2 linked regions of the Bombyx mori genome follow. The protein of the gene in region 2 purifies or fractionates together with the protein of the main gene of each other region. This does not show direct contact. Links are inferred from orthologs where the notes say so. Each region holds a gene or a part of one and is shown on either strand. Other genes may lie near its edges.

Evidence for each region.
Region 1: the proteins of prohibitin protein WPH (region 2) and stomatin-like protein 2, mitochondrial purify together in Homo sapiens (affinity purification with western blotting; 3 studies listed by BioGRID, with this or other methods). This does not show direct contact. The link is inferred for Bombyx mori from reciprocal best matches to the Homo sapiens genes PHB1 and STOML2.

The regions. Positions count from the first base shown.
Region 1 is NC_085125.1:7,768,083-7,772,391, forward strand, and holds the start of stomatin-like protein 2, mitochondrial, read left to right. Parts: upstream 1-1,504; 5' UTR 1,505-1,800; coding exon 1,801-1,848; intron 1,849-1,922; coding exon 1,923-2,039; intron 2,040-2,596; coding exon 2,597-2,804; intron 2,805-3,375; coding exon 3,376-3,564; intron 3,565-3,788; coding exon 3,789-3,944; intron 3,945-4,234; coding exon 4,235-4,309. Other genes in the region: coiled-coil domain-containing protein 112, read right to left, coding at 806-1,118. UniProt on the Homo sapiens protein: Mitochondrial protein that probably regulates the biogenesis and the activity of mitochondria.
Region 2 is NC_085110.1:5,298,513-5,302,980, reverse strand, and holds the start of prohibitin protein WPH, read right to left. Parts: upstream 2,917-4,468; 5' UTR 2,806-2,916; intron 2,564-2,805; 5' UTR 2,562-2,563; coding exon 2,474-2,561; intron 1,903-2,473; coding exon 1,741-1,902; intron 848-1,740; coding exon 666-847; intron 21-665; coding exon 1-20.

The sequences.
Region 1 (4,309 bases), on a different chromosome or scaffold from region 2:
TATTACAAGTGCTTGATTTTTATTTTATTGAGTACCTACACTTTTTTTTTTATTAGGATAAATTCTGATTAATTGAAAAACTTAAAATACAGTAGTATTGAAAATAGTACAAAGATATTGAAATTAAAGGGGGCTAATGGGCCGAAAATCAACTTTTTAAATAAATCTGTACCTATTAAAATGTAAACAATGGCGTAAAAAAATCAAACACACGAAATGATACATTTGCGTCTCTAACAGAGACAAAATTTCTATAGCAATGAGATCATGTCCCTACCTACAAGATGGCAAAAAGTTATCGAACAAAATTGTACCTACATACTTTAGTTATATGTAAATAAATTATATTAAAAAATGTTGTGAATTTTCTTAAAAAATGCGAAGAAACTTTTTCCCCAACCTATTATTTCTAGACGCGGAGCAGTCATACGTTCCGATGTGACAAGTGTGACAACAGTGGTAGATTAAAATAATAATTGAAACATCCACTCCACATTAAGTCAGCTGGAATAGAACTGTAACTCGTATCCAGGGATTTGATCCATAGCTCCTACAAACAGATACCAATTTTGCCTATGAATATTTACCTAACACGTGTTTTAGAACAACTTTAAATTTGAAGGTACGCATCGTCTAATAAAAATCTAATACCATATCCCATATTTGCAATTTGCGTAATTACTGGCGTTAGAGGAGAGAGTACGGCTAGCCTGCACAAAGTCACTACCATCCTGACTATATGTCATCCTATCATACGAACATTAAAACATCGTCATTGGATATTAATTTCACTTTGTAAACTGACCAATGGACCTTAAAATTTCCGAAGAATTAGTGCACATTCTTATTTCCACAAACATATCTTTTAATTCTCGGATAGATTTCTCCAGATTATTTTTGTTCGACTGGGAATCGTAGTTCACTCTGACTGTAGCCACATCGTCGGCATCTCTAAATGAATAGCTGTGCTTTCTTATTGCTTGCATCAGATGATTCTCTTCGATTTTAAGTCTTTTAATTTTAGCAAGGATGGATTCTTCGTCTATGTCTTCAATGTCTTTTGTATCAGAATCCTTACTTTTTACACTGTTAGAAATTGTACATTGAATATTAGACATAGTATTTTTTATTTTCGATAAAAATATAACACGATTGTATCTAAGAAACCATGTTATTTAGTATTGATTCAACAGTCGTAAGTGGCACGAACCGAAGTTTAATTAAACATGGACAGATAGTACATGACATATAATGCCTTTTTAGGTATTTCCCTAATTTAGGTATTTACTATAGAAACAAGGAGATCAAACAAAGGATTTATTTTGAATCTCTTAATATTATGAACATAATTATTTCTATTATGGGCAGCGATTCCAAAAGCGAATCCAGACAAGCATCTATGATAATGTGTTTTAATTAAATAAAATATATTAAATTGTACGTAGTAATGTATGTACATACTTAGTGTTTTTAAAATTATTTCCCATCATCCAACTATCCATAGCCAACTGACAGACGTCAGGATCGCATTGTCTCGGCGCATAGATAATATAGACTTCATGTCTCGGCGGCCAGATGATAATATAGTAATTCTATTTTGTCAGGAAATTCTGAATTAGTTGTGGTTGTATAAATGCTCCTATTTTTGTCTGGGGAGACAAACAAACAAAAAATATAAATTTAGTCTGTAAATAGTGTGAATATAAACAACATACGAAATTTATGAAAGAACAATAAATACGTTGAAAATATTATTTTAAACTTCATTAAAAGACACTTCATAGAAAAAATATTTTCACAATGTTTACACAACATAGATTTTTAATAACTAAAGCCGCTTCATTTCGGGTAAGTAAAATTTTCGTAAATAAGAGACGTTTTTATAAATTTGAAAAAAATAACCTCTTGAAATTCTGTTGCAGAATCTTTTATTACCTGAATTACAAAACAATGCTCGTGTCTTGTATAACATCTCGCCAGTACGAAGTCGTTCTACAACTCCACTGAATACAATAATTATGTTTGTTCCCCAACAAGAGGTACAATGAAATTTTGATTGTTACTTATGAAAAAAAAACCACTTGTAGCAAATGTGTGTTGTGTTATAGTCCTAGGGTACCCCGCTGGTACATAGGGCCCTCACAAGTTGTCTCCACTTTACCCTGTCTTACGCTTGCTCCTTGACATCACGTAGCAAATAATAGCTTCAAATTCTTGCTATCCAACAAACGGTTCTGTGTAGAACAATTCTCTCCAGTTTATCCAATTAATATATTTTGTATGGTATGGTACAAATTTTACACTTTCGAATCTTTTAATCTAAAAATTTAGAAATTTTCTAAGCCTGTAATGAAGAATTTGAATTCTTAATTGTCATACAGCTTTGTGTATTTGCTAAAAATATTACTGATTAATGTTTAGTATAACTAAAGTATGATAACAAATTAATAAAAGCTTAAGAGTAATGATATAAAACAGTATTTTAAATTGGATACTTTAGCATTATCATAATCAAACTATTGAATGACATTATTCTTCTAATTGATGATGAAATTATTGTTAAAATTTAAAATGTATAAAAAAATTATAATTTCAGGCATGGATTGTAGAAAGAATGGGAAAATTTCATAGAATTTTGGACCCAGGATTGAATATTTTATGGCCGATAGTAGATAAAATAAAATATGTTCAAAGTTTGAAGGAAATAGCCATTGATGTTCCTAAACAGAGTGCAATTACATCTGACAATGTTACATTGAGCATTGATGGAGTACTTTATCTTAGAATTATTGATCCTTATTTAGGTGAGTAATATACCCTTTAGAAGTTTTTTAATATATTTTTGCTAAACAGACTAGTAGATTATTAATTAGTATTGAATAACACTAACCTAAGATCCATAAGGTTTGAATAAGTGTTTTTCATTCGCCCTGTCCCTTTAAAATAAGATGAATAAATAATGTAATATTGTAATGATGATATCTGTTTGCAAAATCATAGACTAAATATCAATAAACTGTTAAGGTAGCCTGAAAAGGTCATAAATACAATATTGTAAATAAAATACTAAAAATTTTTAATTTTCCAGGCATAAATAGCTGAATTTAAAATGTATAGAAAGCAAAAACGGAGACAAAAATATTAAAATAATTCTCATTTTTCCCTTCCAAATATTCTTATGCTTTATTTATATCATATTTAATTCAATTTACATTAGAATAATTTTATGATTCCATTTGTGGTTGAAATGTGTTGAAACCCATTTGACATTTTGACAAATCAAAATAAATAAAATTTGCATGCCATCAATTTTAGTATGTTATTTGATAAGTTGTAGAAATTGTCCTAACCTATTGGCATCGGCATCAATTACAGCTTCATATGGTGTAGAAGATCCTGAATTTGCAATTACACAGTTGGCGCAAACTACAATGCGATCAGAAATTGGGCAGATTTCTTTGGATAAAGTGTTCAGGGAGAGAGAATCTTTAAATGTATCTATAGTGCACGCCATTAACAAGGCCAGTGAAGCTTGGGGTATTACTTGTTTAAGATACGAAATACGTGAGTGTTTTTCTATTTTAAGAAAGAATTGTAATATACACTTCATAATGTTTTTACTTTGTATCATTATGCTCATCCATGCTCATCTATTATTTAACTAGAATTGTTTTTAAGCAATCAACTGTCCTATCAACATGTACATCTTAATATCTTCATAACCTTTCTGATAGAGTGTAATTCATTATAATAAATTCCCACTGATTTGAGTAAATATTTTTTTGTAGGTGATGTTAAACTACCAACGCGTGTACATGAAGCAATGCAAATGCAAGTAGAGGCGGAGAGACGGAAACGAGCCGCCATACTAGAGTCTGAGGGGGTTCGTGCAGCTGACATTAATGTTGCAGAAGGAAAACGCCAGTCTAGGATACTCGCTTCTGGTAAGTTTTATTTCTTTACGTCATATTATCAAAGGACAAATCCTATTTAGATTAGGTGCTTTTACTCTTCCTATACGTCTCCACTAAATATTTATTTTGAAATCTGTTTTGAATTGTATTTAAGTATTCAATTACCCAGCACACAAAGTATTTTACACCACTTGTCAAATAAGTGGGGCTATTTAATCTGTTTTCAAACATTCAATTAGCACTATAAATTAATTGTTCAGTAATGCTTTTATAGATGAGACTTCAAGATCGTTTAATGTTTAATATTAATTCACGAACAGAGGCAGAGAAGCAGGAGCAGATAAATAAAGCTGCGGGTGAAGCGCAAGCGATGCTCGCGGTGGCCGAGGCTCGCT
Region 2 (4,468 bases):
TTGACTTTTTGCGACACGATCTGTAAACAAAAATTATGTTTTGATTAAAAATTGGTCAACAATTTTGGGACAGTTTAAAGTCAAAGGAAATGGTGTTTTGATTGGTATGCTGAACTATGCCAACCTATGTGCTTAATGCTCTGTAAGATCAGTGACTGTTGCATTAGACACTTGGTAACATGGCCTGACTCATAATATGGTTAAATATGGGTAGGTGCTAAATTTTGTTATTGCCTTTCTAAGAGGAGCATGCGGCCCATCTGATGGTGAGTAGTCTCCCTCATGAGGTATAATATTAATAAGATGAAGTATGGAGTTAGTTCTAGTCTATATCACTACTTAGCACAATAAGTTCAAAGCTGTCAAGTTATCAAGTTATCAAGTTCAATGTCAAATTTCATAGCCATTATAGGTGCACTAGGCAAATTAAATTACCATTTAAATATTTTGCTGAAAAATCAGATATTCATATAAACTTAATACAAGTTTTATTGTAACACTGAGTTTAAGTTCAGAACAATCACATATTAAAATGAAAGTATGAATGTTTACAAACTGCATTAAAACAGGTTCCTTCAATTGAAAATTGGTAATCCTACAGATGATTCCTCATATAGCATAATAAGAAGTGGAGTATGTTTGTTTAAAAATAGCAAGACTTTCACCTCTCTTTGTGTAATAAGTTCTCCAGCATCGAACTGAGCAACAACTGCTTTCAGAACTTCTGAGGTAATAGATGGAAGTACTCTTTCATCATAATCAATACCAAGAATAGTGTAAATTCTTGGTAATTGATCAGGAACTGGTCTGAAGAGGATACGAAGTGTGATGTTAACATTTTGAAGATCTGAAATAAAATAAATGTTTTATTAAATTAACTACTGGTATTTTCATTATACAATGTAAACTCAAAAAAACAAATGGAAGTGGATTTATTAATTGAAGTTTTATTGAATAGAATATTTTTATTTGCTAAAATAAGAAGGTTATTTTTATCTAAAAGTATTTAAAATAGTTTGTAATTTATGTTGAGTTTATTACTCATTTTTGCTTCCTAAATTAGTTACCAATGATAATATCTTGTGAATTATTGTGCTGCACAATGTTTTAGCATGCATTAAAGTACAATACAATCTGCCTAACACCAGGGCATTTAAATTCTAATGAGTGTATTTGTAATATAAATGGATTTTTCATCTTTAATCTCAATTCATGTTTAATTTTTTACAATACAAGAGTATAGTCACATCATCCATATTGTTGCTTTATTATTCTTACAAATGTTGACATTCTGATGTTCTATCATTAAACATCACAGAAGTATATATTTTTTGGCTGATGTATCAATTCACTTGCCTTTGCTTTGCCATTTCATGAAAGTAAGTATGCAAACACTTCCATAATCAAAGAAAGCCATCAATCATTCATAAGTACATGTTACACATACAACTACTCATTTCACTTGCATTGGTACTGTTGTTCTACTTGTTTTTGGTGCAAAGAAGTCTTGCAATCTAATTTGAAGAATTATATAGCTTTTTTCACACTATAAATGGGACTTTAACCTTATCTCTGAAAGTGAATGGAGGCATACTTGCTAGGTTATGAGCTCTACCACTTAATACTAATAAAAATAACATAGCTTTGAAACCCTAGAACAGAAGTATTAAAGCCAATATGATGCATTATGCTAAAGTGAATACAGATTATAAAATTTTTGCATTTTAAGCATTATCTTACCTTTACTTCCAGTAATAGTAGGAACATTTCTGGGTCGAGACCTGATGTCAAATATAATTGGCCTCTGGACCCAAGGAATGAAGAAATGTGTGCCTTCACCAACAACTAGCTGCTTAACACCAGCAAATCGATCGAAGATAACAGCTCTGTGACCACCGTCGACTGGAAACAATTATCATATATTTATAAGGATCAGCATTTTTACATGTCGCATTTTCAGTGGTTTATCACAATGACAAATAATGTATTATTTATTTATATTACATAATCCTCTGTTTTGAAGAAATTTCTTAAAGATAAGTGTATTTTTTTATATAGATTTTGTTATCATCAATTAAGGATTTAATTAATTTTACTGGTGGTAGGTGAGTCCGCGCGGGTAGGTACCACCGCCATGACTATTTCTGTCGTGAAGCAGTAATGCGTTTCGGTTTGAAGGGCAGGGCAGCCGTTGTAACTATACTGAGACCTTAGAACGCATATCTCAAGGTTGGTGGCGCATTTACGTTGTAGATGTCTATGGGCTTCAGTAACCACTTAACACCAGGTGGGCTGTGAGCTCGTCCACCCATCTAAGCAATGACAAAAAAAATATAATATCAAAGTTTCTATCAAAGATACACAAGAGCTATTTTGGGGATCCAAGCAAATGCAACTTTTATGTTTAGCATACAATACAGCTAGCAAGCTTATGCAAGGTTATAACTGATATAGTTTAAGTAAAATTATTTACCATTATACAATGCAGAATTGACAACACCTCCAACCAATGCCACGCCTAGACCGACTTGCCCAATGCGATTGAAAAGCTGTGCAGCCATATCTGAAATGAATAATTTTTCCATTTTAATTTTTTAAAATCTGAACCATGAAAGTCACTAGGTTACTTGATTAGAAATAAGTGATCGTTTTTTTTAATAAGTCGCTTAGCACAGAATGCATGATTATGGACAAAACAAACATTAAAAAGTAAAAAATTTAATTATTACCTAATTTCACAAAATGTTACTTAACCTAAAATTTTTGGAAATATAATCTTTAATAATTGTTAATTTGAAAGTTTACCTTCAAAATTTTAATGTTTTAACTCTTATTTTATTGTAGACGTAACAACTAACATAAAAGATTGAAAAATTATAGTTTCAAACGGGAAGACAAAAATTGTGCCGCAACGAGAGAAACATAGATTATAACAATAATAGTGATGTTACATATGATATTCTGAAGTGTCGAATCAGGTAGACTAGAGTCCTTGTAATTGTTCATGAACTCGACTTAAAATATTCGAACACAGAGAAATTGAGTAAATTTCGTCGAGAAATATTTATATACAAGGTATTTATGGTTGTGGGATTCATGTTATAAGTATACAAGAATAGGTGCCACAACGCTGCCTATTTTGGCCGCGAAGCAGTCCAGCGTTCTGGTTTGAATGGTGAAATAGAATGATTAAGGGTGAGACCGATATATTAGTATTCATTAAGATATTCTTAATACAGCTTGTATTCGTGTGTCGGTAATCCGTCGCATTCTGATCTGCTAATATTCCGTATTCACTTTATTCATAACACTTAGCTAACTCACATCGGTCGGGTTGTATCTATCACTCGAAAATATACTGGCATACGCCGTACGATGCTAGTGGGAATTTTTAAATACATTACGTTTTAATGTTTGATCCTTCATTTCTTGATTCAACTAAAGATTCTACTCAAGGCAAAATAGTGCATTTTTACATTTATTAGAATAAAATCGGGGAGCTTTATTTTCATTATTTTAATTTTATTTTCTGTTCCCTTCGAATTAGTTGGTTTTAAAACGATGATTTGGAAAACGGAAGTAGGTAGTTGATATTGTTTACCAATTTCATAAATTAAATTATTTTTACACAAAACGTAATACGGCCAGAACTAAATTAAGTGTTTTACGTAATAAATTATGATGAAAATATATTTTTGCGGTGGTATTTAATTATCTTCTAAGAAATTCTCAAAATATAAATAAAAGTTTGATTTTTGAATCGAAATGACTTTCTAAACAAACGGTTCGTGGATTATAATATTATAACTGTTGTGTAGGTACCCACTAGCCACCTCAGTACCGTGTAAGAGGATTTTTTCAAAATCTGGTGAACTCATTACTGACCGACGTACCAGTCTTTCGGTAGAAAAAGTAAAAAAGCTGATGTTTTTATGCACCAATAAGAAATAAATAATATTACTAACTTGTTGTTTATATTAATATACAATGTTGACCAAATTCTGATTTAATAATAATATTCATTTTAATGTATATAATATTATTTGTAAAATATTTAGTATGAAGTCAAATTCCTAGATACAATATACTATTTATATTATTAATAACTAATTTATGTGTATTATCTATGATTATTAACTTATTTCACGAATACCGTATTAGGTTTAACTCGTTTACCCGTTTTATCGAAGTATATTAAGATATCAGGATATTCACGTATTAGTTAAGGTATTATAATATTACATAATGAATATATTAGTATTAGCTAATATTGACAAATATCGGTATTAACCATAGACCTATATAGGTTTCCTACTTCAGTGGTATTAACCCATCTTTGAGAATGATAGTAATGCCGGCCACTCACATGCGGGCAAATATTCGTACATTGTACGAATGTTTGCGCGCATGTGAAGGGCCGTCAAACATTCATTCGTAAACTTAGCAGCTGTGCAAATGGGTTCGCATA